3 linked regions of the Saccharomyces cerevisiae S288C genome follow. Changing the gene in region 2 together with the main gene of any one other region gives a genetic interaction. Each region holds a gene or a part of one and is shown on either strand. Other genes may lie near its edges. The genes, in order: PSD1, SAC1 and PBS2.

What was found.
Region 1: mutations in SAC1 (region 2) and PSD1 impair growth when combined (synthetic growth defect), as found in Saccharomyces cerevisiae (5 studies listed by BioGRID, with this or other methods).
Region 3: mutations in SAC1 (region 2) and PBS2 together harm fitness more than expected from each alone (negative genetic interaction), as found in Saccharomyces cerevisiae (5 studies listed by BioGRID).

The regions. Positions count from the first base shown.
Region 1 is NC_001146.8:316,072-323,152, reverse strand, and holds PSD1 (phosphatidylserine decarboxylase 1), read left to right. Parts: upstream 1-5,481; coding exon 5,482-6,984; downstream 6,985-7,081. Other genes in the region: BNI5 (Bni5p), read left to right, coding at 1-934; SKO1 (Sko1p), read left to right, coding at 1,794-3,737; FMP41 (Fmp41p), read left to right, coding at 4,344-5,123. UniProt on the Saccharomyces cerevisiae protein: Catalyzes the formation of phosphatidylethanolamine (PtdEtn) from phosphatidylserine (PtdSer). Plays a central role in phospholipid metabolism and in the interorganelle trafficking of phosphatidylserine.
Region 2 is NC_001143.9:31,367-38,447, forward strand, and holds SAC1 (phosphatidylinositol-3-phosphatase SAC1), read left to right. Parts: upstream 1-3,176; coding exon 3,177-5,048; downstream 5,049-7,081. Other genes in the region: YRA2 (Yra2p), read right to left, coding at 1-327; DOA1 (Doa1p), read right to left, coding at 594-2,741; TRP3 (bifunctional anthranilate synthase/indole-3-glycerol-phosphate synthase), read right to left, coding at 5,333-6,787. UniProt on the Saccharomyces cerevisiae protein: Phosphoinositide phosphatase which catalyzes the hydrolysis of phosphatidylinositol 3-phosphate (PtdIns(3)P) and phosphatidylinositol 4-phosphate (PtdIns(4)P). Has low activity towards phosphatidylinositol-3,5-bisphosphate (PtdIns(3,5)P2).
Region 3 is NC_001142.9:176,440-183,520, reverse strand, and holds PBS2 (mitogen-activated protein kinase kinase PBS2), read left to right. Parts: upstream 1-3,417; coding exon 3,418-5,424; downstream 5,425-7,081. Other genes in the region: SPT10 (Spt10p), read left to right, coding at 1-1,223; MCO6 (Mco6p), read left to right, coding at 1,812-1,970; TRK1 (Trk1p), read left to right, coding at 6,215-7,081. UniProt on the Saccharomyces cerevisiae protein: Kinase involved in a signal transduction pathway that is activated by changes in the osmolarity of the extracellular environment. Activates the MAP kinase HOG1 by concomitant phosphorylation at 'Thr-174' and 'Tyr-176'.

The sequences.
Region 1 (7,081 bases), on a different chromosome or scaffold from region 2:
AAAGGCAAAGGACTCCTGCACTGAGAACAAAGAAGATGGTACAGTCAATATAGATCAAAACAGGGGTGAAGCTGATGTTGAAATTATCGAAAATAATGATGATGAATGGGAGGATGAAAAATCGGATGTTGAAGAGGGGCGAGTAGATAAGGGAACAGAGGAAAACAGTGAGATTGAATCTTTCAAATCACCCATGCCCCAGAATAACACCTTGGGCGGTGAGAACAAGTTAGACGCTGAACTTGTATTAGACAAATTTTCTTCCGCTAATAAGGATCTAGATATACAACCGCAAACCATAGTTGTAGGAGGTGACAATGAATACAACCATGAGAGCAGCCGTTTAGCTGATCAAACACCCCATGACGATAATTCAGAGAATTGTCCCAATCGCTCTGGAGGAAGCACTCCCTTAGATTCTCAAACTAAAATTTTTATCCCTAAAAAGAATTCTAAAGAAGATGGTACCAATATAAATCACTTTAATTCAGATGGTGATGGACAGAAAAAAATGGCGAATTTCGAGACACGACGCCCTACAAATCCGTTCAGAGTTATCTCGGTGAGCAGCAATTCCAATTCAAGAAACGGAAGTCGTAAATCTTCACTAAATAAGTATGATTCGCCAGTCTCCTCTCCTATCACATCAGCGTCTGAGCTGGGCAGTATTGCCAAGCTGGAAAAAAGACATGATTATTTATCCATGAAATGCATTAAGTTACAAAAGGAAATTGACTATCTAAACAAGATGAATGCACAGGGTTCTTTATCTATGGAAGACGGAAAGAGACTACATAGAGCCGTAGTGAAGCTTCAAGAATATCTTGACAAGAAAACGAAGGAGAAATATGAGGTCGGAGTGTTATTAAGTAGACATCTGAGAAAGCAAATTGATCGTGGCGAAAATGGCCAATTTTGGATTGGAACTAAATGATTACATTACGCCAAGGGTTGTTATAAATATTTATAAATTAAGACAGATATATAAAGTTAAAATAAATACCAAAAGAACATAGACAATCGTAAGAGAATAAGAATCCTTTATCCTAGAGCCATCCATCTGTTATTTTTGATGTTGCTGACTTTTTTTCTGATAAATTCTATTATTTTAATAGTAAAGAGGTGAGTATTTCGCCTAAACGTAAACAAAACGATAATAAAAAAAAAAAAAAATGAAGACAAAATGTTCAGATAGTCAATTATATTGTAATAACATGAAACGGAACAATAACAGTACCCAGAATTCAATTTCAATGGCGTTGTGTCTTCTTTTCTCTAAGAACTTTCATAAACCAAGTCGTACTTAACCGCGCTAGCGATAACCCTGCTAACTTTGTCGCAGAGGGAAAAAAGTAGAATCGAAGGGAAAAATCACGAAAATTAACTGGGCTGAATAGAATGAATTCAGTCATACGGTGATGGTTTTCGAAACAAACTGCACATTTTTCCAGTTAAAAGGACCAAGTTTGGTTACTGATACGTGAGACTAATTTGTTCTCCAGAAACACAATAATTTGGTGCTACATTGCCAACGCTCAGGAGTGGTTTTAAGCTCAGAAAAGTTACTACCAAAGGGGTTCAACGTAAAAGTGAATTGTGTTTTCTTATCGAGAAAAACTCTTTTATTATTCAAGTGAGTTTTCCACTTATTAGATTCCTATCTTTTTACCGATCTCTATTATTTGATAAGTTCCTTAATCAATTCGTGGATTTTTATTTTTATTTCATTCTTTTCATTTCAATTTCTGCATTCCAAATACACCTGCCCAGTCTCTAGACCCTGCTTAATCATTATGTCAAGCGAGGAACGCTCGAGACAACCAAGTACTGTTTCAACTTTCGATTTAGAACCCAATCCTTTTGAACAAAGCTTCGCCTCTTCCAAGAAGGCTTTGTCACTTCCAGGCACGATCTCCCATCCGTCTCTACCAAAAGAGCTTTCACGAAACAATTCTACCTCAACGATAACACAACATTCCCAACGTTCCACTCATAGTTTGAACAGTATTCCAGAAGAAAATGGGAATTCAACCGTTACAGATAATAGTAATCATAATGACGTAAAAAAAGACTCACCTAGTTTTTTACCAGGCCAACAAAGACCTACTATAATATCTCCGCCTATTCTCACACCTGGTGGGTCGAAAAGATTACCACCTCTACTCCTTTCTCCCTCTATTTTATATCAGGCAAATTCAACTACGAATCCCAGTCAGAATTCACATTCTGTTTCAGTCTCTAATTCAAACCCTAGTGCAATAGGCGTTTCTTCTACCTCCGGATCTCTGTATCCAAACAGCTCTTCTCCTTCAGGGACTTCACTTATACGCCAGCCACGAAACTCGAACGTGACCACAAGTAATTCTGGTAACGGCTTCCCCACGAATGATTCACAAATGCCTGGCTTTTTATTAAACTTGTCCAAATCTGGGTTGACACCTAATGAGTCCAATATCAGGACCGGGTTGACACCCGGTATTCTTACGCAATCTTACAATTATCCCGTATTGCCGTCAATTAATAAAAATACTATAACAGGTAGCAAAAATGTCAACAAAAGTGTCACAGTGAATGGAAGTATTGAAAACCACCCTCATGTTAATATAATGCACCCAACTGTAAATGGTACACCACTTACGCCGGGATTGAGTTCTCTGCTAAACTTACCATCTACTGGAGTTTTGGCTAATCCAGTATTCAAATCAACACCTACAACAAATACCACAGATGGTACCGTCAACAACAGCATCAGTAATTCCAATTTTTCCCCAAATACTTCAACGAAAGCGGCTGTCAAAATGGATAATCCGGCAGAGTTCAATGCCATCGAGCACTCCGCTCATAATCACAAGGAGAATGAAAATTTAACGACTCAAATTGAGAACAATGACCAGTTCAATAACAAAACACGAAAAAGAAAGAGAAGGATGTCTAGCACAAGTTCTACTTCTAAGGCTTCAAGAAAAAATTCCATATCAAGAAAAAACTCAGCAGTTACGACTGCACCAGCACAAAAAGATGATGTTGAAAATAATAAAATTTCAAACAACGTAACACTTGATGAGAATGAAGAGCAAGAAAGAAAAAGAAAGGAGTTTTTAGAAAGAAATAGAGTAGCTGCATCTAAATTTAGAAAAAGAAAGAAAGAGTACATCAAGAAAATTGAAAATGATCTACAATTCTATGAATCTGAATATGACGATCTAACTCAGGTCATTGGGAAGCTATGCGGCATAATACCCTCAAGCTCCTCGAATTCCCAATTCAATGTGAATGTTTCAACTCCGTCATCATCATCACCACCATCTACATCTTTAATAGCATTGTTAGAGAGTAGCATTTCAAGGAGTGATTATTCAAGTGCAATGTCAGTATTATCAAACATGAAGCAATTGATATGTGAAACGAATTTTTACCGAAGGGGAGGCAAAAACCCAAGGGACGACATGGATGGCCAAGAAGACAGCTTCAATAAGGACACTAACGTTGTCAAAAGCGAAAATGCGGGCTATCCTTCCGTTAATTCAAGACCAATAATTCTAGATAAAAAATACTCACTGAACTCTGGAGCAAATATCAGCAAAAGTAACACAACTACTAATAATGTGGGAAATAGTGCACAGAATATAATCAATTCATGCTACTCTGTTACTAATCCATTGGTAATAAATGCAAATTCCGATACCCATGATACTAATAAGCATGATGTACTATCCACTCTACCTCACAATAATTGACGAGATAGCGACGGGGTTCTTAAATAGTCTTCTATCTGATGCTTTCGTACTCTTCAACCTGTCCGCTTTTCTCATTGCAAATATTCCACTATAAAGTTCCTTTTAAGAGGAAATCCCTTTTATTCTCCCGCTTTTTTCTGTATTTATGTAACTTCAAGATTTTTTTTTCTATATTTGATATAAACTTTAATAGGGTTCTTCTTTTCAGAAGTTTATCAATTGCTTAAGCCTCCTTTTGTTGATCAACAACAATAAAGGCTTTATTATCGTAAATTTTCCTACAGCATTTATTCTTCATAGAGCATACCGTTATAATTTCACCGTCTTTTCACTACGCTCATAAAGAGAGTACAGTTATACTGCTGCAACCCTAGCATGTATCAAGCTGTGCTGCTTATACCTATTTTGAAAGGGCCATTCCTTCTTTTGCCATTCCTTTTTCGTCTATTTTCCTAAATAGCTTCCTTAGCCTCACGTTTTTTTGTTCGCTTTCAAGAGATGGTCACCGTTCTCTAACTGATAAGGAAAAACGTTTCAGCCAGAACTTCCTATATAGAAATATTCTGAAAGCTATCGAGTAAAGACTCAGGAAATTGCCAAAACGTTATGAGCTACAATTATTTGAAGGCAGCTAGAAAAATTATATGCATTGGGCGTAATTACGCAGCGCATATCAAAGAGCTGAACAATTCAACTCCAAAACAACCGTTTTTTTTCCTAAAACCAACCTCGAGTATTGTGACACCATTGTCTTCATCATTGGTCAAGACCACTAGACCTGCAAACTCGACTTTCAATGGTTTAAATGAAGACGGAACTAACCCCGGGCCCATTTTTATCCCACGCGGTGTGAAGGTTCATCACGAAATTGAGTTGGCATTGATTGTGAGCAAACATTTGTCCAATGTCACTAAGATGAAACCCGAAGAAGTCTATGACTCTATTAGTGGTGTAGCTCTAGCATTGGATCTTACAGCAAGAAATGTCCAAGATGAAGCCAAAAAGAAGGGGCTACCTTGGACTATAAGCAAGGGTTTTGACACCTTCATGCCAATCTCTGCTATAGTCTCCCGCGAGAAGTTCTCATCCTACAAATCAAACTTACAGGATATTTTCAGAGTCAAGTGCTCTGTTAACGGACAGTTGAGACAAGATGGTGGTACTAACCTCATGTTGCACCCACTCCATAAAATACTGCAACACATATCTACCATGATATCTCTGGAACCGGGTGATATCATTTTGACTGGTACACCTGCAGGTGTAGGCGAGTTAAAGCCTGGTGACCGTGTTCACTGTGAGCTATTGCAGAATAATGACAATATTGTCGACATGAACTTCGAATGTGAAAATCGGCCGGGACCATATGAATTTAGAGAAACATAATGTCTGTCGCATTCACGCTTGTCGCAGATAACACGTTATGCGTTACTAATTTCCTACAAGCTTGGCACATATACGACCAATTGTGCTTCTGTATACGCTACGCTATGTAATCACATATCACATGCAGGGTAACCAGCACCTTTTTGGTGTTTTTTCAAATCTCGAGGTCAAGGGACATCTAAAGCAGGCACAAGCATGTGGAAAATTTGTTCTTCACCTATAATATAAAACAGCTTACTCACAAAAGAGACGCCTAGAGGTACGTAGCGCTTTAAGGACTCTTCAGCCAGTTGTTAGCAGATCGCTCAAATCCTTCTTGGTCGTTATTTTTTGAAGAAGAAGGAAAAGCAAAGCCAGCATGTCAATTATGCCAGTTAAGAACGCCTTGGCGCAAGGGAGGACGCTCCTCATGGGGAGGATGCCTGCTGTAAAGTTTTCTACAAGAATGCAATTAAGAAATAGAACTGCGGTGCTATGGAATAGAAAGTTTTCCACGCGTCTTTTCGTTCAGCAACGACGCAGTTCTGGAGAGATTGTGGATCGTGCCAAAGCTGCTGCCGCAAATAGCGGAAGAAAACAGGTCTCCATGAAATGGGTTGTTTTAACTAGTTTCACCATTGTTCTAGGAACCATTTTACTAGTGTCAAGGAATGATAGTACAGAGGAGGATGCTACAGAGGGCAAAAAAGGGAGAAGGACAAGAAAAATCAAAATATTTAACAATAATTGGCTCTTTTTCTGCTATTCTACTTTACCGCTGAATGCGATGTCTCGATTATGGGGCCAAGTAAATTCTCTTACGTTACCCATTTGGGTTAGACCATGGGGTTACAGGTTATATTCTTTCCTTTTTGGAGTTAACTTGGACGAGATGGAAGATCCTGATTTGACACATTATGCAAATTTATCCGAATTTTTCTATCGTAACATAAAACCAGGCACACGTCCAGTAGCACAAGGCGAAGACGTTATAGCTTCTCCAAGTGATGGAAAGATTTTACAAGTTGGTATAATCAACTCTGAAACTGGCGAAATCGAACAAGTCAAGGGAATGACATATTCCATCAAAGAATTCCTTGGCACTCACTCCCACCCCTTGATGTCTAAGAGTGCATCTAGTCTAGATTTGACTTCTGATGAGGAAAAGCATAGAGAATTCGCCAGGGTAAATAGAATACAATTAGCGGGTTCCGAAGACACTGAACAGCCTCTTCTTAACTTTAAAAACGAGGGCGATCAATCTGTTCGAGAGTTCAAACCAAGTGTGTCCAAAAATATACATCTTTTAAGTCAACTTTCTTTAAACTACTTCTCTAATGGGTTTTCGTGCTCTGAGCCTCATGATACGGAACTTTTCTTTGCCGTCATTTATTTGGCTCCCGGTGATTACCATCATTTCCACTCTCCAGTTGACTGGGTTTGTAAGGTTCGCCGCCATTTCCCAGGTGATTTATTCTCCGTGGCACCTTATTTCCAGCGTAACTTCCCTAATCTTTTCGTTCTAAATGAAAGAGTTGCTTTGTTGGGTAGTTGGAAGTACGGATTTTTTAGCATGACTCCTGTTGGTGCAACAAATGTTGGTTCAATCAAGTTGAATTTTGATCAAGAATTTGTGACAAATTCAAAGAGCGACAAACACTTGGAACCACATACCTGCTACCAGGCAGTATATGAGAATGCAAGTAAAATATTGGGAGGGATGCCTTTGGTTAAGGGTGAAGAAATGGGTGGCTTTGAATTGGGTAGCACTGTTGTACTTTGTTTTGAAGCTCCCACTGAATTTAAGTTCGATGTTAGGGTTGGTGATAAGGTTAAGATGGGACAGAAATTAGGCATAATTGGAAAGAATGATTTAAAATGAAAGCAATCATATGTAAAGTTAGCATTTATTTTGCTGTATATAGTATTATCTGCACACTTTGATTTAATTCTTCTTTTGGAGGTATGTAAAATTATAC
Region 2 (7,081 bases):
TTCAAATTCGTAAATACATGTACGATCCTCTTTATTGTCAAAAATTTTCGAAAATATTGGCGAGCCAAACTCTTTAATCATATCATCGAGGGTGTAGTCAGAAACGTCTAGTGGGATTTTGGATATTCTAATTCTCTTAGGCAAAGGAGGCTCTTCCCTCTCTCTATAAAGGCGATCTTTCGACCTTGATGCAGCATCCGAAGGCGCAAATCCCAGTCTAGGTCCTAATTCATTTCTTAAATCCCTTCTGCGGTATCTCGTTACCTTATGATTAGATGAGCTGTCTGTGTGACTATTTCCAATAATTTCGTCAAATGCTTTGTCCATTGCAAAATGCAGTATTGAATCGTCTAATGGAAAAGGTACTAGACGCTTATCGTTTCAGTTTTTTAGTCTTTTCCATCTATTTATCAGTCTGTACTCAAAATAACCTTATTGTATGTAACCTTTTTCATTTCACGATGATAATTTCTTGCCGAGTTAGACAGAAAATGACCGTGATAGTTTGTCATAATTTTCAATAGGGCAGAAAGAATTTTAAAGATTATTTGCTATCTAGACATTATGTGTTTTATATGATTGCTGTAAAAGTATTAGGAGAGATCGTCGAAAATATCCTTAAACCTTGGCACGTTCCCATAGCTCCTTTTGATGTTTGCAAGCCAAGTTACGGAGTTGGCAAATTGTCTTAATGTAGGTTCAACAGTAGCCAAATTTCCGTAAGCTACGGTTAGCCTATATGCGGCTTCTTCGCATTCTTGATACTCTTCCAATGGCCCATACTTGGTGTTGATGGCGTCAGCTACGATAGGCAAAAGTTCTAAATCAGAGTTCCCTTTCGTGACGAGAGCTGAATAGTTGAAAATTAGTGTGGAAACTGCAATAGCCAAATTCTGTGACTGTTTAGCAGATGCCTGAGAAAATTCAGTATCTATAGTCTCAAAAATTGATTTATAAACTTGATTTGATTCCAGTAATTTCACACCCCAGTTTTCATTATTGAAGCAATTTACCAAAATACGCACAGTTAACATGGTTAGAGTGATATTCTTATTGCCCAAGCCTTCTTCGATGTAATCTTTTATATCTGAAGAATAAGGTAATTTTTTTACAATCAATCGTACTATGTCGTATGCAGGAGTCTTAATTTCCCAGTTAGATCTTATAGTGTTAGCAAATGAAAGTAGCAACTCCCAGCTTTCATCTATGTCATGTAGTGCGCCACCAATTTGCGCCAGAATTTCATCATCAAAGGTCTTCTCATTTGAATTTATTTTTACTATTCCATTGAAAATAGTATCTGGGTTATAATTTTCCATGATAAGATACTGCTTGACAGGAAGAACCTTCATTACGCTCGTTTTTGAAGGTGATACTGCAGAAGATGATGCATTATCGTTGGGCTGGTCTAGCGATATGCCATTAGTGTTCTTCAGTATGAACTGTACTACTTGATCCCTATAACTCATTGGCAGTTCATAACGAGCCAAAAAATTGTCGGCTGCTGTATATGGGTTGTCGCTGACATTAATCGGCAATTTCAAGGGAGGTTTTCCATCTTCAATATCCACATCAAATACGTAGTCATACGTTTTACCCTCGAATTCTATTTTTTTGTCGTTTCCAGTAGCACCTGCACCGACAACATCACCAACCTTTTTCCATGAAGAATTTGAAAATTGATGAGCTTCTATAGTACCTTGAGGTGATTTGACTACCACAATTTGACCCTCTTTGCGCCCCGGCGATTGTAAAATTTCATAAGGTGATAGTTTAGACTCATCAAATTCTATTGTCTTGGAACTTATAGTGGATTTTTCCACTTGCGTAGATAGTTCATTTATTTCATCCTCGGAAGCCCATCTTGACTTCTCTTGCGAAAATATTCTCACAAGATTATCACTACTTCCCACAATAATATCACCATTAGACATACAATCAACGGACCAAATAGAGATGGCAGGAAGTGTAATTACCTGCTTTAACGAACCATTTTCCTTTGACCATATACGGACTGTTCGGTCTTCGCCGCAGCTTACAATATCTCCATTGGGCAGCAGTTTAATGCAATAAACAAAGCTTTCATGGCCTTCATATGTTCTTAGTACGTCACCTGTATGCATATCAACCAACTTGATGAGGCCATCGTTTGAACAACTGATAAAATGGCCATCATCCACCACAGCTAAATGTCTTACTACATCATTGTGAATCCCACTGAAAGTTTTGATCACTTTATCGTTTTGCCACAGTTTAATCGTCTTATCGGCGGAAGCTGTCAAGAATTTATTTTCTGAGAAGGATACGACTTTGGCATCCCATACAGAGGCATTGTGTGCTTGCAAATTGTAAACCAACGATCCTTCTTTCCAAACCTTTGCGGTTTTGTCCCAACTACCGCTTATCACAACACCATCTTGGAAGGATAAACTACAAACGTTCCCTTGGTGGCCAATCAAGGTATACAAGGGATCCTCTCCTGAGGTGGCAAACAAGGGCACACCGTTGATCATAGTATCCTTACCTCCAAAAAGCAACAACTCCTTCTCGGAATCATAACACACACTATTTAAAAATCCTTGTCCTGTATAAACTACCGTACCGAGCCATTGGTCATCTTTAGACCACAAGCGAACTGTTCCATCCCTCGAAACACTAGCAACCTTTGAATCATCCACAGCTACCACATCCCTGACGTCCTGATCGTGCCCTTTAAGTGTTGCACTCAATTGATATCCCATACTCCAAATCTGCTGCTCTACACCTTACTATCACACATGAATATATATATATAAAATAAGCCAAGACAGTGGCCTTCCCTTATTATCAGCGTACTAAAATCTCATATGATTTATTTTTCGTGGTCCTGAACGAGTGTGAAAAATTTTGAAAAACTCGCAAAGGAAATGCCAAGGTCAGCAACTTTCTCGACGTCCAAGCCTCGCTCCTATTGTTTTAGTAACCTGTAGACCTTCAATATTCAAGAGCTTGCACACGCACGCATTGCTGCACTACTGCTTACCCACACTACAAATTTAATTCCAGCTTATTGAAGTTGAAAAGGCAAGGGAAAAATACCACAGGTTTAGATAAGGAAATAGGAGAAAGGATTAGAAACCATATCCCTATAACAGTAACGATAATATTTATATACACGTATATTTTCTCGTCTAGATATGACAGGTCCAATAGTGTACGTTCAAAATGCGGACGGTATCTTCTTCAAGCTTGCTGAGGGCAAAGGAACTAACGATGCTGTTATTCACTTGGCCAATCAAGATCAAGGTGTTCGGGTCCTTGGAGCAGAGGAATTTCCTGTGCAAGGTGAAGTAGTAAAGATTGCGTCCTTGATGGGGTTCATTAAGCTAAAGTTGAACAGGTATGCCATTATCGCAAATACTGTGGAAGAGACCGGTAGATTCAATGGCCACGTTTTCTATAGAGTGTTGCAACATTCTATCGTATCTACCAAGTTTAACTCGAGAATCGATTCTGAAGAAGCCGAATATATCAAGCTACTGGAGTTGCATTTGAAAAATTCCACCTTTTATTTTTCATACACATATGATTTAACAAATTCCTTACAAAGAAATGAAAAGGTTGGTCCTGCAGCCTCCTGGAAAACCGCTGATGAACGATTCTTTTGGAACCATTACTTAACTGAAGATTTGAGAAACTTTGCTCATCAAGATCCTAGAATTGACTCCTTTATACAACCTGTTATCTATGGGTATGCCAAGACAGTGGACGCCGTTTTGAATGCCACCCCTATCGTTCTTGGTTTGATTACCAGACGTAGTATATTTAGGGCGGGCACAAGATACTTCCGTCGTGGTGTTGACAAAGACGGTAACGTTGGCAATTTCAATGAAACTGAGCAAATTTTACTCGCTGAGAATCCAGAGAGTGAAAAAATACACGTTTTCTCCTTCTTACAGACAAGAGGATCTGTGCCAATATACTGGGCTGAAATCAACAACTTGAAGTACAAGCCAAATCTTGTTCTTGGAGAAAACTCATTAGATGCGACAAAAAAGCATTTTGACCAGCAAAAGGAGTTATATGGCGACAACTACTTGGTTAACCTAGTCAACCAAAAGGGCCACGAACTACCCGTGAAAGAGGGCTATGAATCAGTCGTGCACGCGCTAAACGATCCGAAGATTCACTACGTGTATTTTGACTTCCACCATGAATGTCGTAAGATGCAATGGCATAGAGTGAAATTGTTAATTGATCACCTGGAGAAATTAGGTTTATCTAACGAAGATTTCTTCCACAAGGTCATAGACTCTAATGGTAACACCGTTGAAATTGTTAATGAGCAACATTCCGTTGTAAGAACAAACTGTATGGATTGTTTGGACAGAACAAATGTCGTTCAATCTGTTTTAGCCCAGTGGGTTTTGCAAAAGGAGTTTGAAAGTGCCGATGTCGTTGCTACTGGAAGCACTTGGGAAGACAACGCTCCATTGTTAACTTCTTACCAAAACTTATGGGCTGATAATGCAGATGCAGTTAGTGTGGCATATTCGGGCACTGGAGCTTTGAAGACCGATTTCACAAGAACCGGTAAGCGTACACGTCTAGGTGCATTCAACGATTTTTTGAATTCAGCATCACGTTATTACCAGAACAATTGGACTGATGGTCCAAGACAGGATTCATACGATTTATTCCTTGGTGGATTTAGACCACATACCGCTTCTATCAAGTCGCCATTCCCCGACAGAAGACCAGTGTATATTCAGCTGATCCCAATGATCATTTGCGCAGCCTTGACCGTTTTAGGTGCTACGATATTTTTTCCTAAAGATAGATTTACCAGCAGTAAGAATTTGCTGTATTTTGCAGGTGCGTCGATTGTCTTGGCGCTTTCAACCAAATTCATGTTTAAGAACGGTATTCAGTTTGTCAACTGGCCTAAGTTAGTAGACGTTGGGTTCTTGGTCGTTCATCAAACGCATGATAAAGAACAACAATTCAAAGGTTTGAAATATGCACAGAGTCCTAAATTTTCCAAGCCGGATCCTTTAAAAAGAGATTAATGAGTTCTATATGTGATAAAATGATGATTATTGTAAATCCAAAACGTAAAACCGAAAATATGATAAAAACGAGAAAAAAAGTAAGTTAAAAAATAAAAAAATAAAAAAATGAACGCCGGCCCCAGAGGGAAGAACAAGCTATTTATTTTCTTTTTTACTTTATCTTTCATGGTCATATATATATATATATATATATATATATATCTTCTATAGGCTACTATACATGAAGGCGTTCGCCCTTACAACGTTAAGTTTTTTTCCCTATTGTACCGTGTAAGTTTCAATTATTCGCATAATTCATGAATGAACTTCTTCACATCGGTTGATTTCATTAGGGCTTCACCCACTAAAAATCCATGGACACCTTCTTTTTTGTATTTTTCAGCATCGTCCCTGGTGGTAATTCCCGATAGAGCAATTAGAAGAACATCCTTTGGAATAGATTCTACCAAGTTACTGGTGGTATTTAGGTCTACGTTGAATGAATGCAGGTCCCTATTATTGACACCTACAACTTTAGCACCAATTTCTAGAGCCCTTTGTAATTCCTCTTTGGAGTTCACCTCAACGAGAGGTTCCATGTTCAAATCTTTACTGTAGCTGTACAGTTCCTTCAATAAGGGTTGAGATAGCATCTTGACTATAAGAAGGACAGTGTCAGCTCCAGCTAATCTTGCTTCTAGTATTTGATACTTGCTGAAAATAAATTCTTTTCTCAAAACACAAGGCCTCTCCTTGGGAGGAAATTTCAAATCTAGGATTTTCCTCACATTTACTAAATCCTGTAACGAACCGTGAAACCAATGAGGTTCGGTCAATACGGAAATTGCGGATGCACCAGCCTCTGCGTATTTGAGAGCCTGTTCAGCAGCAACAGCTTTTAAACAAATGGGTCCCTTCGATGGAGAGGCACGCTTGACTTCAGCAAGAACAACGGCTCTTTTATGGGATGATGACAACACCGTGTAGAAATCCTGTAACGGTGGGGCAAGACCTAAATCATAGTTAGATTGTAAGTCTTGAAAGGTGAAACCTGGGATTTTAGACTGCTCATTGACGTCTATTTTACGCCGAGCATAGATACGGTCCAAAATAGAATTTGAAGGAGATGATTTGTTTTCCTCCCAAGTGCCTCCACTGACGTTTAAAATGTTCCTGATCATCAGATGACCTTCCTCGGTCAAGATGGATTCCGGATGAAATTGCACACCTTCTACAGTGTACTTCTTGTGTCTTACACCCATGATAATTCCATTTTCGGTACTCGCAGTAACCTTCAAGCAGGATGGTAGGGACGATTCTGTCCCGGCCAATGAATGGTATCTTGTCACAGCAATACCTTGCGGCACGTTCTTGAAAATTCCACAGTTGTCGTGAGAGATTGGGGACGTTTTACCGTGGACAATCTCACCAGCGTAGGCAACTTCACCACCAAATACGTCAAACATGCATTGCTGGCCCATACAGATTCCAAATACAGGAATTTTCCCAGTAAAGTACCGGATACAGTCTCTTGAAATGCCAGAATCTGTCTTTGGGTGGCCTGGTCCAGGCGAGATAAGCAATGTGTCGGGATTCAAGGCGGCAATTTCTGGAACTGTAATTGCATCGTTACGGTAGACGCTCACTTTGGCGCCCTCCTGGCACAAGTACTCGTAAACGTTCCAGGTAAAGGAATCGTAGTTGTCAATTAGAACCACATGCTTATTGATTGGGTTTGTTGCAGCGTGCACAGACATTTTTTTCTTACTTTTATGGCGTTCTATGTAGAACCAAACAGATTTGGTAATGTGTTAATACTGACCAGCTCCTTGTCGAACTTTTTGCGTACCTTAATATCTGCTATAGATTAGAATGAGTCAACGAGCCATTGATGATCATTCAATGATTACTACAAGAGGCATTTTCCGTCGTCAGTGATATGAATAGCACGGTGAGGTCCAGAAGAGATAGTAGGAAGTTTAATACTGGCTCAAAGGCATACTTATATCGACAAGCTAAGCGCAAATACTACTTTGTGGTACATCATCAGC
Region 3 (7,081 bases), on a different chromosome or scaffold from region 2:
GAATTTTGGAAGGATTGAACTTTAGGCGGATTGGAAAGCTGCCTGAAGCCGGGATTCTCAAGGGCTTTGATGTCCCAGTAGATTCTTTCATGTATGGTAAAGAGTTCACACATATTACGAAAAGTATAGATTTGTTACGAGATCCTCAAAAGAGTATCGAAATTGGGAAATATGAACGATTAAAGCATTTTCTGGAAACAGGCAAGTATCCTTTACATTGTGATAGAAACGAAAAGGCTAGATTAAGAGTACTTTCCAAAACTCATTCGGTATTGAATGGCAAGTTGATGACAAAAGGAAAAGAAATCATTTATGACACGGATCAACAAATCCAGATTGCATTAGAGATACATTTAATGGAACATTTAGGCATCAACAAGGTGACCTCCAAAATTGGTGAAAAATACCATTGGAGAGGAATCAAGAGTACTGTTTCGGAGGTAATCTCTCGGTGCCAAAAATGCAAGATGAGGTACAAAGACGGGACAGGGGTAATAATTGAACAAAAGAGAGCAGTTAAGCAGGCGCATATGCTACCGACGCAGCATATAGAAACTATCAACAATCCAAGAAAAAGCAAGAAGCATGATAATGCGTTATTGGGACAGGCAATAAATTTCCCTCAAAATATTATTTCCAGTACGCTGAATGATGTGGAGGGTGAACCCACTCCGCCAGACACTAATATCGTACAACCCACATTCCAGAACGCCACGAATAGTCCCGCAACAACAGCTGAAGCCAACGAAGCGAATAAAAGATCCGAGTTTCTTTCCTCAATACAGAGCACGCCACTATTGGACGACGAACAGTCAATGAATTCCTTCAATAGATTCGTGGAGGAAGAAAACTCAAGAAAAAGACGAAAATACTTGGATGTTGCCTCCAACGGAATTGTACCCCATTTAACGAATAACGAATCGCAGGATCACGCGAACCCCGTCAACCGTGATGAACGAGATATGAACCATTCAGTTCCCGATTTAGATAGAAATGACCATACTATAATGAACGATGCTATGTTGAGCCTCGAAGATAACGTCATGGCCGCTCTAGAAATGGTCCAAAAGGAACAACAACAGAAGATAAATCATCGAGGTGAAGATGTGACTGGCCAACAAATCGATTTGAACAACAGTGAAGGTAATGAGAATTCAGTCACTAAGATTGTTAACAACGAATCTAATACATTTACAGAGCACAATTCTAATATTTATTATTAAATTGCGACTCTGCCAGAGACGGTCACATCACCAACCCTAGAAACTATAAAGTTTGTACAGAAAAAAGGTACATTTAATGATGCGTCCACTTTTGGAACAGGGTTGACAAGTCTTAAATCTTATTTCAGAAGTGATTTTTGAAGTAAAATTGGAAACTGAAATTGGAAACAAGGCACTCAACTCAATTATGCTTGCATGACGAAAGGTTCTGTTACAGTTTTACGTTGAAACCTAGGTACTGCAGAAATCCATAATCGGAGATAAATAACTAAGCTTTGTGCTGCAAAATTTTCCAGATTAGGAAACCTGATCCTCAGTGCCCTTTTAAGTACTGCTGTATCTGATGCCGTGAACGAGACACTATTGGCTGCGTGGGCACGTACCAAGTATACTCATCAAAATTTGTCTTAGGTTTTCCGATGCGGAAAATGGCAGCGCACAATTTAAATAGAAAAGGAGTTAAATGTACAGCAGCAAAATCAGTCACTCACGGAGAAAAGCTACGGTAGCGTAACGAAGAGCACATTGCTACTAGCAGCCAGCTAGATAATTGCAGCAGTGTACAGTTTACGCGACAATAAAGAAAGCATGATTTTCTTTTTCAACCAGATCCGTTCAATATTTACAGCTTTGCATACGCCAACTCAACAGATCCAATTATCAAGAAGGGCCTTTTTCCAATTCTTAGGCTATTTGGGTAGTTGTGTTGTGATTTCATTAGCAGCTCAATCGAAATACGTGCAGTAAGAAATGAAATAATGACCTGCAACAGTCCTTCTTGAGATGGAATGAAGTAATTGCTCTTTGAACGAGAGCACAAAAGCAAGCAGAAGTCGCGTATGTCAAGCCCATGATATAGCTGCTTAGATATATAGGTAGATATAAATAAGCACAATGGCTACAGTAATTGTGCGGTGCAGGGAGGCAATGTTTAGTGCATCTCCTCTACATCATTTCTATTTTTAATCTCGTCCACGAGAACGATTTAAGGAAATGGGGCTTCAAAAATAAAAAAATCAAATGAAAGTAATAATCTTTCAGCTTAGACTTATTTTTAGTTGAAACACTTGAATAAGAGTGCAGACACTCAATCGTGGTGTAGCTACAAGAACATATGGTGGCGTGTTTCTGCTGCAACTGTCAAGATCGTCTGTGTCTTAATGAGGTGATATATAGAACTGCTGAATACGGAGCCGTTTGTCTTTTACTGCGGGATTAACTTCAACAGCTACGGCCGAAGCCAATTCTGGCAAAAGGCAATGACTAAGTCTTGTTTCTCATGTAGATTACTATTTTGAGCGTGTTGCTTTTCTGTTCCCCTTGAGCATAGCAGCAGGCACGGAAGCATACAGAATATTCACTAACATGAGAACAACTCATTACTAGACTACTACCAGTTACTACACATCGATACAACTCCCCAGAAATATCACTGTTGAGAGTTCATGTCAAGACGTAGTATAGTATTGCAACAGGAAAAAAAAATCTTATTGCGTAGCACTCTGTATCTATTTTATATATCTGTTTCTATATTTGATTAATCTCTTGTTATCTTGGTGATGATCGCACAAGTATGTACTCCTGTATCTGCAAGAATATCTGTTTTAAACTTTTCAAAGCAAGGAAACCCCGTCTTATATAGGTTATCCGCAAAGGTCACATTTTCTTGCAAATAGAAGAAAAAGCACCCACAAGCACACTAACACAGTGCCAGAGCAAAACTATATCCTTTGCATCCGATCTCAAACGCTGTTCTTATCGCATCTGTCTTCGTCCTTTCATCTGCATTTACCTTTTCTTTTTCATCCTCTATTTGCCTTTTCATTAGTGGCAATTTTTCCAGTTTTTTCCCTCTGCGTCCCGTTGCACCTGAAAGGATCTTTCTAACGTGTGTTGTCTACTAGTGAGCGATTTCGTGAGCCATACACGTTCTATAGAAAATTGAATAAACTTTACTTCAAAGGGATCTGGACACAGAGATAACTGCTTACCTGCTTGCCGGAAGAAAAGAATTACTAAAAAAGAAGACAAGGGTAGCTGCTATTGTGGGTACACGTTTCACAGAACTACTTTTTCCTTGTCCTTCTCCAGACATCAACGTCATACAACTAAAACTGATAAAGTACCCGTTTTTCCGTACATTTCTATAGATACATTATTATATTAAGCAGATCGAGACGTTAATTTCTCAAAGATGGAAGACAAGTTTGCTAACCTCAGTCTCCATGAGAAAACTGGTAAGTCATCTATCCAATTAAACGAGCAAACAGGCTCAGATAATGGCTCTGCTGTCAAGAGAACATCTTCGACGTCCTCGCACTACAATAACATCAACGCTGACCTTCATGCTCGTGTAAAAGCTTTTCAAGAACAACGTGCATTGAAAAGGTCTGCCAGCGTGGGCAGTAATCAAAGCGAGCAAGACAAAGGCAGTTCACAATCACCTAAACATATTCAGCAGATTGTTAATAAGCCATTGCCGCCTCTTCCCGTAGCAGGAAGTTCTAAGGTTTCACAAAGAATGAGTAGCCAAGTCGTGCAAGCGTCCTCCAAGAGCACTCTTAAGAACGTTCTGGACAATCAAGAAACACAAAACATTACCGACGTAAATATTAACATCGATACAACCAAAATTACCGCCACAACAATTGGTGTAAATACTGGCCTACCTGCTACTGACATTACGCCGTCAGTTTCTAATACTGCATCAGCAACACATAAGGCGCAATTGCTGAATCCTAACAGAAGGGCACCAAGAAGGCCGCTTTCTACCCAGCACCCTACAAGACCAAATGTTGCCCCGCATAAGGCCCCTGCTATAATCAACACACCAAAACAAAGTTTAAGTGCCCGTCGAGGGCTCAAATTACCACCAGGAGGAATGTCATTAAAAATGCCCACTAAAACAGCTCAACAGCCGCAGCAGTTTGCCCCAAGCCCTTCAAACAAAAAACATATAGAAACCTTATCAAACAGCAAAGTTGTTGAAGGGAAAAGATCGAATCCGGGTTCTTTGATAAATGGTGTGCAAAGCACATCCACCTCATCAAGTACCGAAGGCCCACATGACACTGTAGGCACTACACCCAGAACTGGAAACAGCAACAACTCTTCAAATTCTGGTAGTAGTGGTGGTGGTGGTCTTTTCGCAAATTTCTCGAAATACGTGGATATCAAATCCGGCTCTTTGAATTTTGCAGGCAAACTATCGCTATCCTCTAAAGGAATAGATTTCAGCAATGGTTCTAGTTCGAGAATTACATTGGACGAACTAGAATTTTTGGATGAACTGGGTCATGGTAACTATGGTAACGTCTCAAAGGTACTGCATAAGCCCACAAATGTTATTATGGCGACGAAGGAAGTCCGTTTGGAGCTAGATGAGGCTAAATTTAGACAAATTTTAATGGAACTAGAAGTTTTGCATAAATGCAATTCTCCCTATATTGTGGATTTTTATGGTGCATTCTTTATTGAGGGCGCCGTCTACATGTGTATGGAATACATGGATGGTGGTTCCTTGGATAAAATATACGACGAATCATCTGAAATCGGCGGCATTGATGAACCTCAGCTAGCGTTTATTGCCAATGCTGTCATTCATGGACTAAAAGAACTCAAAGAGCAGCATAATATCATACACAGAGATGTCAAACCAACAAATATTTTATGTTCAGCCAACCAAGGCACCGTAAAGCTGTGCGATTTCGGTGTTTCTGGTAATTTGGTGGCATCTTTAGCGAAGACTAATATTGGTTGTCAGTCATACATGGCACCTGAACGAATCAAATCGTTGAATCCAGATAGAGCCACCTATACCGTACAGTCAGACATCTGGTCTTTAGGTTTAAGCATTCTGGAAATGGCACTAGGTAGATATCCGTATCCACCAGAAACATACGACAACATTTTCTCTCAATTGAGCGCTATTGTTGATGGGCCGCCACCGAGATTACCTTCAGATAAATTCAGTTCTGACGCACAAGATTTTGTTTCTTTATGTCTACAAAAGATTCCGGAAAGAAGACCTACATACGCAGCTTTAACAGAGCATCCTTGGTTAGTAAAATACAGAAACCAGGATGTCCACATGAGTGAGTATATCACTGAACGATTAGAAAGGCGCAACAAAATCTTACGGGAACGTGGTGAGAATGGTTTATCTAAAAATGTACCGGCATTACATATGGGTGGTTTATAGCGTTAATATCCAAATAAAAGCAAACAGGCACGTGAATATAACAACAAAAAAAAAGCAGACGAAAAGCTACTGTGGAAATGATGCGGCGAATACAAAAAAACCTTACATATACATATGTTTATTGTAATAAACTTGCATTATACTCGTTATAGACATATATATATATATATATTCATATATATATATCGTCTGACTTCCTTTTGTCGAACCTAAAAAAGGGCACGAATTATGACAGAGTATTGAGGGGATGTTATTTCAAGCACCGGCAAGTGAAGCGATGTGGACGTCAATATATTGTGTTATTCGATTATTGCTACGGCCATCGACTCCTCGAAATTATTTACGTTCGGGGCTGACAACGCAAGAAAGAAAAAATGCTCTGGAATTGTCTGATGGTTTTTCCGCTCTTTACGGCTCAAGGCTAGGAAAGAAAAAAAAGTCCAAAATCATCGAGAAAATAAAAGGTGTTTTGAAAGTTCAAATCCACGTTATTGAGAGTAGATGTGGAGTCTGGACCAGGAACTATACCTGTATCTTACCCTAACTTCTAAATTTTGCTACTTTCACGGAAAACAGTAAATAATTACCTATCAAGATAAAGAGCTCTTACATTATTAGAAACTTTTTGTTACTGTTGCTTTCCTTTCGCCCATTGTTTTTACCTTACCATTAGCATCACTGATTCCACACTTGTATTGCCTTAAAAAGAAGGAGGGTATTCTATTGGCTCTCAAGGAAGTCATTCCTATCCATTTTACTTAAAGTTATTACCTTTTTTTGATAACTAACAATGCATTTTAGAAGAACGATGAGTAGAGTGCCCACATTGGCATCTCTTGAAATACGATATAAAAAATCTTTCGGCCATAAATTTCGTGATTTTATTGCTCTATGTGGTCACTATTTTGCTCCAGTTAAAAAATATATCTTCCCCAGTTTTATCGCGGTTCACTACTTCTACACGATATCCCTGACATTAATAACTTCAATCCTGCTATATCCCATTAAGAATACCAGATACATTGATACATTGTTTTTAGCAGCGGGCGCAGTTACACAAGGTGGCTTAAATACTGTGGATATCAACAATCTAAGCTTATACCAACAAATTGTTCTGTATATCGTATGCTGCATATCAACACCAATTGCAGTTCATAGTTGCTTGGCATTTGTACGGCTTTACTGGTTTGAGCGCTACTTCGATGGTATTAGAGACTCTTCTAGACGAAATTTTAAGATGAGAAGAACGAAAACAATCTTAGAAAGGGAACTAACAGCAAGAACCATGACCAAGAATAGAACAGGTACCCAAAGAACGTCTTATCCTAGGAAACAAGCTAAAACAGATGATTTCCAAGAAAAATTGTTCAGCGGAGAAATGGTTAATAGAGATGAGCAGGACTCAGTTCACAGCGACCAGAATTCTCATGACATTAGTAGGGACAGCAGCAATAATAATACGAATCACAATGGTAGCAGTGGCAGTTTAGATGATTTCGTTAAGGAAGACGAAACGGATGACAATGGAGAATATCAGGAGAACAACTCCTACTCGACGGTAGGTAGTTCGTCTAACACAGTTGCAGACGAAAGTTTAAATCAGAAGCCCAAGCCAAGCAGTCTTCGGTTTGATGAGCCACACAGCAAACAAAGACCC